3 separate regions of the Mus musculus genome follow, and regions 1 and 2 are each reported to be linked to region 3. Evidence: microRNA targets listed by miRTarBase, many of them from high-throughput screens and not tested one by one. Region 3 holds a microRNA gene; each other region holds the end of a gene's coding sequence.
The links. Region 3 holds the annotated microRNA mmu-miR-3106-5p (UGGCUCAUUUAGAAGCAGCCA, at 2,810-2,830, opposite strand). A microRNA usually pairs through its seed, bases 2 to 8, with sites in the 3' UTR of a target mRNA and lowers its output. Matches are read on the target gene's strand: a 7mer-m8 pairs with bases 2 to 8, a 7mer-A1 pairs with bases 2 to 7 and ends in A, and an 8mer does both.

Region 1 (5,067 bases), not on the chromosome of region 3:
TATAGTTTATTTTCTGATGGAGCCAGTGGCAGGATCATGCATGTAGAGAGAAAGCACACAATAGGAATTTTAAGTGATAGTAGTACGGTTTCTTGTGAAGTAGACTTTGGTTAATCTTGGTTTTTCACCTAGATTAGATTTAGAAGCTGAATTTTTTTTTATAAAGATTGCCTTGTGCATTTTTTAAAAGATTTATTTATTTTATGTATATGAGTACACTGTCGCTGTCTTCAGACACACCAGAAGAGGGCATCAGATCCCATTACAGATGGTTGTGAGCCACCATGTGGTTGTTAGGAATTGAACTCAGGACCTCTGGAAGAGCAGTCAGTGCTCTTAACCACTGAGCCATCTCTCCAGCCCTTGCCTTATGCATCTTTGTAAGATTTTTCTGGTATAAAAAAATCTTAAAATGTTTAAATGATATCTGTTGGGTTTTGCAATGTTATTTAATGACATGTAACAGAGTTGTGACAAAGAAAACTTGAGTCTTTCCTAAAGTTGGAAGTCCTTCTACCTCAAGTTATTTCACCTTTTTAAGATTTTGGAATACCATATTCCCTGAAATCTGCAAAGGGTCCTTAGGTTATTTTCAACAGAGGAGTCATGGCTCACCCTGTTTCTCAGAGTGAATCTCATTGAGTTGGAGTTGAGAGCTTGGTCTGCTTGCTGAATTTACCAGTCTCCTCTTTGCGTAGCTTACACTTTCTGATGCATCATCTTAGCTTATGAAATTATTGTCACTACACAGGGGCTGTTTTTGGAGCATTGCAAGACATTCTTGGGAGCCGCTCCATTTCAAAGGAATACTATAACCAGACGGGCCGCATACCTGACTGGTGCTCTCTCAACAACCCTCCCCTGGAAATGATGTTTGATGTGGGGAAAGCGCAACCACCGCTGATGAAAAGGGCATTTTCCACTGAGAAATAAACGCTTGAATACATCCAGCCTTGCTTATTTCAAATATTTAATCAATTAGAGGTAAATTGTACAAAGTATGTGGGATGATTTAATATATAGAGGTGACCTTTATGTTACAAAGCATTTCTGTATTTTCTCTTTGCATTAATATTTAATTCATCTGACTTTGTCTCTTGTGTCGTATGTCGTAGTGGATGCTTGTGAGATATGTTGTATTTATATCAATAAATATAGTTAAGCTATTCAATTTTATTAGTTTATTATGTAGTGCAGTTTCCTCCAGTTCCCATAATCTGCCGAGTATTAGAAACCCCCTAATTTTACTATTTTTAGTGATAGATCCAGGCCATGAATGTTAGCCTTTGCAGTCATTTCAGGTTCTTTTTAAATTTTTTTAAAACTATATATGTATAGGAGCGTGTGTGCATATGGATGCAGGTGCCTGTGGAGACAGGAAGCATCAGGTCCCTGGAGCTGCGGTCATTCTGTTGAGTCATGTGCTGTGATTTCGAGGAACCAAAATCAAGTCCTCTGGAAGACATACGCTGAGCCACCTCACCAATCTGTTATTTCACATTCTAACATGATCTGTTTCTTAATCCTTTGTTTCACTGTATGCCCATGAAACTTCAGATCTTTCAGACTGTTTGATAGCAGGGCCAGGCATTCACTATGCAAGGTGTAGAAATAGATACTTTTGAACTTTATGTTCAAGAGCATGAAACCTCTACATTCCTACGAAAAGTAATTCACTCTATAATTTTCTTTTTTTTTTTTTTTTTTTACTTTTTTTTTTTTAAAGATTTTATTTATTTATTATATGTAAGTACACTGTAGCTGTTTTCAGACACACCAGAAGAGGGCGTCAGATCTCGTTACGGATGGTTGTGAGCCACCATGTGGTTGCTGGGATCTGAACTCTGGACCTTTGGAAGAGCAGTCGGGTGCTCTTACCCACTGAGCCATCTCACCAGCCCCCTATAATTTTCAATAAATATATTCATAATGAAACTAACCATTGCTCTTGTGCTTTCTATTTTAGCACAAGGGTTTTTCAACTAATGAACTCATTTGTTGTTAAACTTTTATTTGTCCTCATTTGTTTAATGAACTTCCTCAAGACGGGGTGGGTGTGTGTGTGCGCGCCTGCGCACTCATGGGTAGGAACTAACACAGGTTCTGGTGTGTATACTTTAACTCCACACATAGTCTAATCACTTTGCTTTTTGAATATTTCCAAGTTTTGCCATATTCTTTACATATGAAGATACTAACTCTTGAAGAAAATGGCTTCCTGCAATAAAAGTAGGAAAAGAAGAACCCGGTAGCCAGGCAGTGGTGGTGCACACCTTTCATCTCAGCACTTAAAAGGCAGGGGCAGGCACATCTCAGGCCAACCTAGTCTATAGAACAAGTTCCAGGACAGCCAGTGCTATACAGAGAAACCCAGTCTTGAAAAACCAAAAAATGAAGAACGCCTGGTATGGTGATGTACTCCTGTAACCCCAGCAAGTGGGAGGCAGAGGCAGGTGGGTCTCTGTTATGAGTTCAAGATCAGCCTGGTCTATATAGTGAATTCCAGGCCAGCCAAAGGATTCACAGTAAATCAGATATAATGGCTACATTTCTGTAAAGTAGCTCTTGGGAGTTAGAGGAGGGGTGATCAGGAGTTCAAGGCAACCTCAATTACATAGCAGGTTGGAGCCCAGTCTGGTTTCTATGAAATTCCATCTCCACAAAATAATTTTTAGAAGGAAATGAATTCTTTGCATTTGTCTGTTTGACTTTAAAATACTTATATCTCTACTATTCTACTTACCCTTTCCTACCCAAAGACTAAGATTTACTGATACCTACTGACCATCTGTGTGCCCTGTGTACTTGTGGGTGCTGTGAGCAGTAAGATGTGGACAATTGCCCTTTAGGGGTCAAAGGCTAATAGAAACAGATTTGCACACCAATGGTCACACAAAAGCTATCAGTGTTGCTACTGATACTACTTTTGGCCCTGGAGAAAAACCATTTGGGAGAACTTTGACCTGCTTCCTAAAGAACAGGTAGTGGGAACTGGTTACTTCGGGTTATGTGAGCAGCACTCTACACTCAAGGCAAATGAGCTGGGGTGCTGGAGGTAAGAGTAATAGTAAGATGAGATCTTGCTAATCCCGACTTAAGGAGAAGTTAATCTGAATTTCATGTTAGTAATGAAATATCAGCTTGGCCGCCAAGTTTCCTAATGTGCTTTGTCCTAAAGGTGATGGTGATGTCTGTCGTCCTGAGCACATCTGTCATAGGCACTGATCGTCATTGCTTTGACACTGTTGTCATCTTCTGTCTGGAGCAGAAGCTCCTAAAGGACAGGGCTCAGTGTCTTTGACTTTGAGCATGCTAAGGCTCAGAAGAAGGTACACTGTAAATACTCAATTTACATGGACCCACTATTTCGATAACATCTTTTTTTGCAAGAAATATTTTAAGTCCCCAGTTGTGCATGCTGGCACGCATATGGAGTCTGTCAGATGTAGTATTATCCAAACCCAGGAGTTCAAGACCAACTTGGGTTCTATACTGAGATCCTGATAACACACACACACAGACACAAAACCCTCTACTCTGCATTTGTACTGATTTTGTCTTGTATTTGGATTAAGAAAATAAAAATGATCATTTAAAACGAAATCTGATTGCTCTGCAGCCTTATATAACTACCTATAAAGTGACAATCCCAAGGAACAGGTTAAGAATTTACTACTCACGGATTGTATTATGTCACCCAAAAAAGACAAGTTGGAGTCTTAACATTTAGTGCCTGCGGACGTGGCTTTACTTGGAAGCAGGATTGTAGATGTAGTCAACAAGATAACAATGTTGTGGCCCACATAGCATTGCCACAAAGCACAGGAAAACTTCCAGAGAAACAAGTTTTTACACAGATCACAAGTAAGTTTGAGTGGGCATAGTGTGGTACATGTATAATTCCAGCAATAGGGACGCTAAGGCAGGAAGATCATGAGTTTGTTGCCAGCCTGAGCTGCGTAGTGAGTTTGAGGTTGTCTAAGTAGATATCTGATTGGCCATTCATGTTTGACATTAAGAGCTGTAATTCAGACACTTGGGAGACTGAGGCATAAAAGGACTGTCGAAAGTCAAGCCTGAGCTATACAGAGAAACCATATCTCAAAAAACATGGAGCTCAGAGGTAGAGAGGAATGTCTGTGAGTTCAGGGCCTGATCTAAATATGGAATTCCAGGCCAGCCAGGGTAACCCTGTCTCTTTTTTTTTTTTATTTTTTTATTTTTTTATTTATTTTTTTTTTTTTTAATTTAAGAAAGAGAACTGGGGGCTGGGCAGGTAGCTCAGCAGTTAGAGCACTAAGATGCCCTTCTAGAAGTCCTGAGTTCAATTCCCAGCAGCCACATGGTGGCTCACAATCATCTGTAATGGGATCCAATACACTCTTCTGGTGTGTCTGAAGACAACTACAGTGTGCTCATATGTATATAATCTTTTTTTTTTTAAAGAAAAAGGAAGAGAAGTAAAAGAAAAGAGAAAAGGAAGGAAGGAAGGGAGAGATTTGAACTATCAGTAAAAAGTGAGGATTCCTAAGCAGAAAGCTAGCATTTGAAACTTGACCCCACCAAGGATATGTGTCTATCAGAAGGTCAGGGATCTGGGCCTTTTGCTGTTTCTTTTAAAACTCTGGTCAGAAATAGTGCCTCCGTTTAAGTTGCATACCGTACATAGCAGCCCCAAGACTATATAAGAAGAGTTTCTTACACATGCTCTGAGCAACTGCACCCTAGGGAAGGACAGTTCACTGGAGGAGGGCCTAGCATCACTGGAGCAGAGTTCACAGGGGGGGGGGGGTGCAAATTTAGCAAGAGGGAAAGTGAACTCATCCATGGAGCACTCCAAAGGTGGGAAGTAGGAGAAAATGACTCAAGTGGGTGGCCAATCACTGGAGTCTTCATCCAGCAACTGTTGGAGCAGATGCACCAATGGCCAAACACTAAGTGGAGCTCCAGGAACCTCACAGAGAAGGGGAGGAAGCACTGTAGGAGCCAGAGGGTTCGAGGAAACCAAAGAACACGGCCAGCAGAATCAACTAAGCAGGGCTCATAGAGACTGAAGCAACAATCACA
Region 2 (5,067 bases), not on the chromosome of region 3:
ACAAATCTTACTATGTCCAGGCTAGCCTGGAATTTCCTATGTAGACCAGGATGACCCTGAACTAAACAGAGATCAGTCTGCCTGAGATTTATTTTATTTGCAGTTATTTGTATGTGTGGGCCTGTGCCTGTGAGTGGGGTGCCCACGGAGGCCAGAGGCATTGGGTCCTGGGGAGCTAGAATTATGGATAGTTGTAAGCCACCTGTATTGGTGCTGGAATTGAATTCAGGTCCTCTGAAGAGTGGTGCGTGCTTTCATCTGCAGAGCCTGGCTCTCAACTTTCAGTTCTCTTGCCTCAATCTCCTGAGTGCTTGAATTACACATATGTACCCTATGTCTAGCTTGTGATTTTAATTTAAATAATCTTTCTAAAGTGTTAAATTATTAATCCTCTTCTACACATGCTTTTTAACCTGTTACTTATTGCAAAGAGAAACAACCCAATCTCTGTAGGTCTGGCTTTGCTCTTTGGGCCTATATACCATAAATTATGGAGCATCTGCTGCTGCCTTTGCAAGTTTTAAAATGTCTTTGGAACATTATCTCATAGGCTGGCTATAAGAAAAAATTATGGAAAAAGTCAACTGCAAGAAAGAAGCGCTTGAGGGAATTTGTGTTCTGCAGCAAGACCCAGAGTAAACTCCTGGATAAAATGACGACATCTTTCTGGAAGAGGCGCAACTGGTACGCTGGCGATCCTTACCAGATGTACCACGATCGAACAAACCTACGAGTATAGTTCAGAGCTATCATAGTTCCCAGCTATGGAATGTGGGTCTTTGTGTACATAATGCCCTTGCAAAGTGAGTATGCGTTAAACTGTAAACTGTACCAGCTGATCGGCAAGCTTAGATTACCACCATTGTGCATTAAACATTCCCAGAGTTGGTCATAGAACTAAAAGTTAAATTTATTGTGCATTATTTCAAAAAACTGGTAATGGCTTTCCTTATTTCTGGAATCTTGGATGAGGAAAAACACGAAAAGACGCTCAACAGTGGGCCTTTGTGTGGAATTGAGATGGTATCCAGGTTTTTGCACATGCTAAACAGACATCTTACATGCCTATTCCCAATATGACACATGCTGTGTTTAAAAAATAAATACCTAGGAACTCAGGAACCTCCTCACTGTCTCCTACCTGTAACTCTCTGCCCCAGCTTTGGGGAGGGCAGGAATTGGATGAAGCAAGAGATGGTGGGACTTTATGCCTTGGTTCTACTGTGAGAGTGTGTGGTGTGTGTGTGTGTGTGTGTGTCTACTCACCATCACTCTCTTTAGTCTTGGCTTTTGTTTATGTAAAGTTTCTATCTCTCAGACTCCCTTCAGCCTGAACCTTTGGGTTCCCTTTAACATTACAACCCTCAACTCTTGTCATCTCTTCTCTCTTAATTGCCAGGGAACTCTCATTGGGCCATCCTGCCTTTTCCTCGTAAGTCTGAATCAATGCCATCATGCAATGTAGAGCTTATCTGTTTGTGGCTAGGACTCCACCCAGGCTCTCTTAGTTGTATCAGTAGGTTCATATGGAGTAAAAAGGTAGGTGTGAGCTGTTTTCCTTAGAGGTACATAGAGTAGCAGGGCACTTTCATCTTGTGTCCTGGGTTCTTTGTATTTATGACAGTTATTACTAATTTTATTGTAACAGGATACTTTTCATAAAAATAAATCACCTTCCCAAATACCCTTCTTGAAATACATAGCTATATAATAAACTCTTTTGCCCAGTTTTTCTTTTCTACTTTACTTTTTATTTTTTACATATGAGTATTTTGTCTGCATGTGTGTATGTGCCCTTGAAGGCCAGAGGAAAGTTGTTGGGTCTACTGGCATTGGAATTACAGATGGTTGTGAGCCACCATGTTGGTGCTGGGAATTGAACCTGGGCCCTCTACAAGAACAGCCAGTTCTTAAATGCTGAACTGTCTCTCCAGGCCTCTGCCCAATTTTTCAAAGGCACTGAATTTTTAAAAAGTTTATCCACTTAAGATTTCTTATTTTCATTGGTAAAGATCAGCTTTTTTTTTCCAGAATTCTCTAAAACGCAGGGTGGAAACTAAGGGAGAAAGTTGCCTGTCATTTAATGAGACTGATGTCAGCTGTGCTCAGAAGGCAACAGTATCATTCATTTTATCTTTTTGTTTGTTTGTTTGTTTGTTTTTTCAAGACAGGGTTTCTCTGGCTGTCCTGGAACTCTTTGTAGACCAGGCTGGCCTCGAACTCAGAAATCAGCCTGCCTCTGCCTCCTGAGTGCTGGGATTAAAGGCGTGGGCCACCACGCCCAGCTAGTATCATTCATTTTAGAAAAGAGTCTGGCCATTCCATCCTGAATGCACATGACTTTGTCTGATCTCAGAAGCTAAGTAGGGTCAGGTCGGGCCTGTTAGTAGTCAGATGGAGAAAGATGCAAAAGTTACACGTGGTTTACAGAGAGTCAGAATTGATGCTGCAGGCCGAGAGAGTGACTCTCTGCTCTCCCATCAGAACCATCTGGAAGCATTTCCAAACAAAGCAGCCTGCCTCATTGAAAATTCTATTAAGGATGAATGACTGTTTGAAATCCATTGATGATAACATGAAGTCCCCCATTTAGTAGAATAAGGCAATCAGTTGGTGTTTTGATGGCAGGTAGGCCAGGACTTTGAGGACCATTCAGTTTTTGTTTTGTTTTGTTTTGTTTTGCTTTGTTTTGTTTTGTTTTGTTTTTCGAGACAGGGTTTCTCTGTGTAGCCCTGGCTGTCCTGGAACTCACTTTGTAGACCAGGCTGGCTTCGAACTCAGAAATCCGCCTGCCTCTGCCTCCCGAGTGCTGGGATTAAAGGCGTGTGCCACCACTGCCCAGCTTAGGTTTGTTTTTTTTTTAATTTTTTTTTAATTTATCCATTTGAAGCCAGTTCTTCATTAAATGGAGAGGGATGTAGAATGTCGTAAAACCCCATATGTGTGTATGTGTGTATGTGTGGGGGCAGGTGATAGAGAGCAGGCGTGTGACTTGAGCACCTCATACACCAATGGCTCTGCCCCGGTGGCTCGTGCTGTGCTCACCCCTGAGGCGGCAGAAGCTGAGTGCTGTGAGGCTTTCGAGGTTCCTCGCCTGCACAGTTCCTGCTTCCCGCACATCTGTGGCACTGTGCTGAAGCTAAGGAGGGAGACACTGCACAGCCTTAGACTTTTCTAGAGTCGACATGGATGGTTCAGATCTCTGTTACATGGCCTCAGTGCCTTGGCTTCCCCTGTAGCCAAGGACAGGCTAGGCAGAGGACAGCGGCCACAGGCTGAAGTAGAAGGGCTGCAGGCACACCTCGGATGGAAAGGGAACTTCTTCATACATACAGCTTTTGTATGTGGGTAGGGGAGCCTTTCATCAAAGCCAAGTTTTTAGTTTGACAACAAAGCAGTTTGCTTTAGAGCCTGCCTAAATGATGTTCAAGTGTATGCATAACTGTTTATTTACATGTAATTTATTGAACACTTGTCATATTTAAGCAAATCTGCAAAACTCTGCTGCACCTCATGCCAACCTTATACAATCTTATACACGAGCTATCATTTATCCCTGATATAAATTGAAGGCACTAAAGCTTATAGAAGCTGAAATAAATTACTCTAAAATATAGCTAATGCATCCCAGATCCCCTGTCTAACTCTTTGGAATCTTGTGTACTTCCTTTGATTTTCTAACAACATAGGATACTCATATCTTGATCAACAAATGACTGTGATCTGACACTAGTAGTAAATACTCTACCCGTTCAAGTCTGAGTTGTGTGACTTTGCTCTCTACCTGTCAACTCTGTTGGTGCATAACCCTGGCTTAGTAAATGAGTAATGAATGAATGGATTTCTAGTCTTTCTTCCCATCTCTTCTTCCTGTTTTCTGCCCTCTGAATCTGCTGCTTTAGTTTCTAGTCTGTGTACTGTAAAAACAAGAGAACCGACCACACTTGAAGGTCTTTGTGACCTCCCAGTGAGGCTAGAGTGAGCCTGCTGCCTTACTGTTGGTTGGTTGGTTTTTGAGATAGAGTCTCAATTAGCCCCAGCTGGCCTCAAATTGATGTGTAACTGAGGATGACCTTGAATTTCTGATCCTCTTGTCCCTACCTCTGGATGCTGGGATGGATGGATGAAAGTCATGTTATATCACATCCTGTTTATGCAGTGCTGGAGACAGAACCCAGTACCTTGTGCATTCTCTATGACACTATGATAGCGATGGCCCTGGTGCCTGGTGCTCATAGTTTCAAGGCAAGGGATGCAGAAGTGCTATGGGCATTTTTACCATCCACAGTGGCTCTGCACATACACAAGCCTGTTCTAACCTGCATAGGCAATCCCCCATCTGCAAGTGAAGAAAAACTCAGGAAGAAAACTGCTACCCAGTTCTGCCCATACAAATAAAACTGCCCACCAGTGAACTGCTCATATCTTCACAGGCTCCCAGTTTCCACTGACCTCTAAAACAGTAAAATAGTGAGACTTTGAGGTTAATATTTGTCTCGTCAGCTGAGTCTGTGAGACATGTATCAGTGATGTTTTTCTTCCGGGCCATCCTATGTAGTAGACATGGGCCAAGTTTCCAGGCCAGAGAGTATAAGCATTTGGTTTCTAATCCTTGTTACCTCCCACGTTTAAAATCTTTAACTCATTTATACTTAGAATTTTTACTTTGGTTTTGTATTTTTGAGATGGAGTCTCATATGTTCCAGGCCTGCCTTGTTCTCTATATAGCTGAAGTTCCCTTGAGGTTCTAATCCCCCTGAATGCTAGCATTGCAGATTGTGTTCCACCATATCTGGTTTATAAGGAACTAGGGGTTGAACCCAGAGCAGTATGCATATTAGTGAAGCGCTCAGCTAACTGAGCTCTATCCCTAGACTCCTTCTACATTATATATATTACATTTTATTTATTTAATTTGGGGGTCGGGGTGGGGGGAGATGTGTGCCACAGTGTGCACATGGAGATGAGAAGACAGTTTGCAAGAATGTCTTCTTTCCTTTGGCCATGGGAGTCCAAGGGTTTAAACTTAAGTCATCAGGCTTGTTAGCAAGTACTTTGTCTTAAGCT
Region 3 (5,075 bases):
TGTATGTATTCATGCATGTATATTTGTGTGTATGAAGCTATTGGACTCTGCCTTTTATACATTCAGTGTGTGTGTGTGTGTGTGTGTCTGTGTGTGTGTGTGTGTGAATTTTCTCTCTTTCCTTCTCTTTCTTGCCTGCCCCAAGGAGTTAAAGAAATGCATAATTTTGCAGTGTTCCAAAGAAGTGCCAGTCCCTGTAAAGTAAGCTTTGTACCCTCAGAAAAAAAAGTCTGCTAAGCAGCTTCTCTAATCACTGGATGCCTTTGGCAGCAGCCCCTGTAGGTATCTGGATCCACCCAGGATGGCAGCTCTAAGCACTAACCTCCAATGGGTGCCTGCCTAGGTTTACCCACAACATGGATGCCAAAGCCAGAGTCGTTGGCAATGTTGGGCTCAGGCAATAGAGGAAAGGAATCCTACCTTCTGCCCTGTAGCCAAGGAACTAAATTACTGACAAGGCATTTTGCTAAATGATGGAGTAGAGGCAGGGGTACAGAGGCACAGAGAGATGTCTGGGCACTAGCAGGAAGAAAGCCATTTGGATAGTTCTAGAAGGAAGTACAGCTACCTTACCTAGTCCTCAAACCAGAGTGAAATCGTACTGGAAAGAAAATTCTTGGGCATGATGGAGTAAAAACATTGTGGTATCCAGAGAAGAATGGTAGTCATGGTTCTCAGTGGTACCTAGAGAAGAATGAATGATGTGCAGCCTACCTATGACCTCTGTATCTGTTGAAGCTATCTGACAAAGAAGTGGAGTCAGATGGGTAGGACAGGGGAGGAGAAAGGTTGGGGAATACAAAACACACTGATCCAACACTAATGTATTATTGAACCTGGCTCAGAAATACTGGCATAGAGATGCTGGGGGTGGCACACAAATAACCATAGACTCACAGGGATACAGGGAGGGACACACAGCACAGACCCAACATTTAAGAGTTCATTTGTGGTCCTATGGAATGGATTGGAGTGAGAACAGATAGGAAGGCAGAGTCACTGCAAAGCTATCAAAAGTAGGGTTAGAGGACAATGGTTCAGATGAGATGCGAGCTAATGTGGAGGAGGAAGAGCACAGCTCCCGAGGAAGAGAGCATAGACACTGAGCACAAGACACTGAACCCGGGCCCACCCCTCACTCAGAGATTAGCCCTCACCAAGGCTTCCTGAGACACCAGGAAAGCAAAGAAACCTTTCATTGACGATAATTAGGAGCTAATCTTAATAAACATGTTTCAGAGAATACTCACACACAGAACAAGACATTTCGTGTTCTCTTGGATTCCAATTGGAAAATCAGACTTATGAATTAGCACAAATTGTGACGATTGTCTAAGAACACATTAAGACATGCACCTGAGCCATCCCAGCCAAAGCATGATGCGCTCATTCATGCTTTGGAACTTCCTTGGTTGTTCTTGCTGGCCTTTCCCAATGATGTGTGCAAGCTGTTCATTTCTATCTTTTTAAATAAAGGGAAGGACATATGTGGCAAGAAGGGGCATAGAATATTTTTAGCATCCATGTTGACATTCCCAGAGTCCTTGAAAGTTTCAGGATGACATAGAAGCCACTTAGTTATGTGGCATGGTGCTAATGGCTTTCTACTGTTTCTGCTTAATATGTCCATATATTGTAGCTTTTTTTTTCACATTTAATTTTGATGATAAATTTGAAAGAAAAACCCAATACTCTGATATAAAAGTGAAATTTCAATATTATGCTTCAAAATCGATTTTAATTAAGATTTCTGACTGATGATGATACTTTTGATACTAAACACATCTAATAGTTCACTGGGATCACTCAAATTTCTTTTTATTGATGAAATGTATTTGTGAGCATAGTAACTTCTCTCATGTGTTTTGTGAGCACACGTGTTCATGTGTGTACAGACTCATGTGCATGTAGGAGCCAGACACAGATGTAAGGAGTCTTCCTTAATCACTCTTCACATTACTCTTTGAGACCCGTTCTCCCATTCACCCTATAGCCTACCATTTGGGCCAGACTGCCTTCCCACTGAGCCTGAGCCCCCACCTGTCTTTGCATCCTCACACTTCCCAATCACATATTGCCGTGGATGCTTTGAATGTGGGTTCTGGGAACTGAACTCGAGTCCTCATGCTTGCATGGTGAGCAATTTATAGATGGAGTTATCTCTCTAAGCCAACATATTTGTTATTTCTATATTATTGTTGGGTAGACTATAGTAACAGGTTTTAAAACTAAAGAGACAGGGAGGAAGAGAAACAGACATAGACAGAATGCACAGACATGATTGCTCTCATTATCTACCTGAGGATTCAGGTATATCATCTTTGTTTTACTCATTGGTTACTGAGACTATATTGCTTCAAATACATATAAAGTATATTGCCTATTTCTGATTTATATTGAAGAAGAACATTAGATGCTGAAGAGATAAAAAATATAAATACTTGTTCATTAAGAACTTGTGGTTGGTACTGGTTGAAAACCAACATGTAACAGTTATCATTTGGGAGAACATCATGTTAGTAGAACATCGAGTGCTCACTTGACACACACTGAACACATATTAACTTCACTGGGTAAAACATCATTTATTTCATTGCCTAGGCCCAGCCATGGCTTCCAGGGCTCAGCCCCACAAGAGGTGTCACAGATCCATCAGCGAGTGCCTAAGGAGACAGAGGGCATTCTTGTGTTGGTGGCTACCGGCAAAGGAGGTCACATGCCGAGTTGCATGGCTCCTTCCTTGAGGGTCCGTGGCAACAGGAGAGGAGCACAGGAAAGCCCATGTATAGGCAGCCACTCTCTGAGTGTATGGCTGCTTCTAAATGAGCCACCTGTGCTTCCCTGGGGACAAGGTACTGATGAGAAGCCACACAGGTGAGCCTGGGCGTGGCTCTTCCTTCCGTTTCCCAAATGCACATACAGACAATGCTCATGCTAACACTTTTACACAGGAATTCCCAGGAGAAGGACAGCTGTGACCTCAGCGAACAACATTCCACATTTCATAGCAGAAATACCAGTGTTCAGAATATAATACAGGACAATCTGATGGTTTACACACAGGTGATTTAGTAATTTAAAATGTAACTTCCCCCTTCAGGGGTCTGCTTTTCTTTTCTTTTTCTTTTTTTCAAATTTGTTTTTCTAGGACTAATATGTCAAAGTAGTATTCTTGTTTTCCACTCTGAAATTCCACAATTTATTAAAATGCCTAGATGGCTCTAAGCATCTGCTTGGCTGGCAGGAGAGTCTGTGTAACCGCGAAGTCTTCCCGGACAAAGATGAGCGAAAATTTATAAGATAAAAATAGTTTTATATAACTCTCTAATAAATATTCATTTCACAAAGTGAGACAGGAAGTAAAACTAGATTGAACATAGAATTGCAAGCCTGGAATGTCAGCACAAATGGAGCCAACCTGCAGGGGAAGGTAATGACAAAAGGCGACCCCATCAACGCAGCCCCGATGCCAAAATGCAGCACGCACAAATTCTGATGTGCCTTTAAGATTTAAAAGTCCCTTCAAACATATACTTTCAACAATGTTTCTAAGAGTCTTCAGCATTTTTTTGTGAAATTGAATTACATAATTATTTTTAAAGTTAGGAATAGCCTCAACATGAAATCATTTAAATGCAAATGCTGGAGAGACAATTAGGGAAACATTCAATTTTATATATATGAAGTATAGTTTTTTTAGCATTCAACTTTAATTCCCATTGTCTAAAACTCAGTACTGCATACCTTCATATTGATTTAATTTTCATGATAATATCCAAATTGGCACCTCTAAAAATACTTTTTATACACTCTGGGCAATATATTCTTTTCATCTACTATTGGCTTAGGAGCTTGTGGAGGTGGCTGGTCCTGACCCTGGCAACTTATTTAGGAACATGGTCCTTTATGTGACCCTCTCTTAGCAAGGACTTGCCTGGCCATGACAGAAGACATGGTCCGTGTCATGTGAGGCAGATTACAGTTACCTCCAACATAATCCGAGCAGAGGACTCTAAGGCAGATTGTTAGGACTAGGGTTGGTTCAATCAAGGAAAATGTTCAAAGCCTGGCAATCTCCAGGTTTCATGAGATAGTGTGAGACTGGGGGACTTCTAAAGAAATAAACTTCGTATTCACTTAGGAATTTTAACCTAATCCTGGGAAAGGGGAGGGCAGGTAGCTATGGCAGGGGAGGTGCAACCCCATTTGCCTCCCTGTACTAGCCTGGAGAAATAGCCTGCTACTTGGCCTTCCATGCAGCTCTTAAATGTCTCGGTGCTTGGGTAAGACGCACTTCGGGAGGTTAGACTGCAGCTCTCTTTACTTGCTTCAGTGAACTGGCGTTCTTTTTCGTCATTCAACATCATGCTAAAGACTTCTTTGGTTGAGAGTCATAAGATGACTGTGAGGTTTCCATTGCCCCAGGAACCTGTTCAACTTTGGACTGAGCAATGTAACCAGCACTCCTCATGTTAAATTTTCCCACCCTCTGGGTCTGGAGAGATGGCTCAGTGGTTAAGAGCACTGGATGCTCTTGCAGAGGTCCTGAATTCAATTCCCAGCAACCACAGGGTGGCTGTAATGGGATCTGATGCCCTCTTCTGGTATGTCAGAAGACAGGGACAGTGTACTCAAATACATAAAATAAATAAATAAATAAATCTTTAAAAAAAATGTTTCCCCACCCTAGCTGGCCCATGCCTGCTCCCCATATGCCTCTGAGAGCAGTTACTGGTACAGCTATTAGCAAAGGTTAGGATGTTTTTGATACACCCCTTTAAGGCATGTTTTCCTTGTCAGTCTATAAAAGGACTGTAAGCCATACACTCACAATCCAAGCACAGTGACTTCCTTCTTTCTCACTCTCTTCGTGGTCCCTGCCTGAATCCTGTCCCTCTCTCTTCTGCAGAACCTAGGCTGTAGGCCTAGTCGGTGATAACTTGGGGGGCAAGGTTTATATAACATCCTGTACATGAGGTGTACATGAGCATCTCCTCATGGGGGCAGTATTTAGCATTTGGATATTTAGCAGCACCAAACCAACCCTTACATTTCACTCTTCAAGGAATGGCTGA

Region 1: the mRNA of Actr10 is a reported target of mmu-miR-3106-5p. Seed matches in the 3' UTR shown: 7mer-A1 at 1,471-1,477, 7mer-A1 at 1,813-1,819 and 7mer-A1 at 1,883-1,889.
Region 2: the mRNA of Mrpl35 is a reported target of mmu-miR-3106-5p. Seed matches in the 3' UTR shown: 7mer-A1 at 1,852-1,858.

What each region holds. Positions count from the first base shown.
Region 1 is chr12:70,961,116-70,966,182 of GRCm38, forward strand. It overlaps Actr10 (ARP10 actin-related protein 10), which reads left to right. Exons shown (of 13, transcript NM_019785.2): 13 at 752-3,603. The coding sequence ends at 933. Among named protein-coding and RNA genes, the nearest start is that of n-TKctt17, 5.5 kb to the right of the region's middle.
Region 2 is chr6:71,811,771-71,816,837 of GRCm38, reverse strand. It overlaps Mrpl35 (mitochondrial ribosomal protein L35), which reads left to right. Exons shown (of 4, transcript NM_025430.3): 4 at 551-3,841. The coding sequence ends at 739. Among named protein-coding and RNA genes, the nearest start is that of Mrpl35, 9.5 kb to the left of the region's middle.
Region 3 is chr8:16,165,996-16,171,070 of GRCm38, forward strand. It overlaps Mir3106 (microRNA 3106), which reads right to left and starts at 2,843; the gene lies at 2,762-2,843. All of the region lies in intron 23 of Csmd1 (CUB and Sushi multiple domains 1), which reads right to left.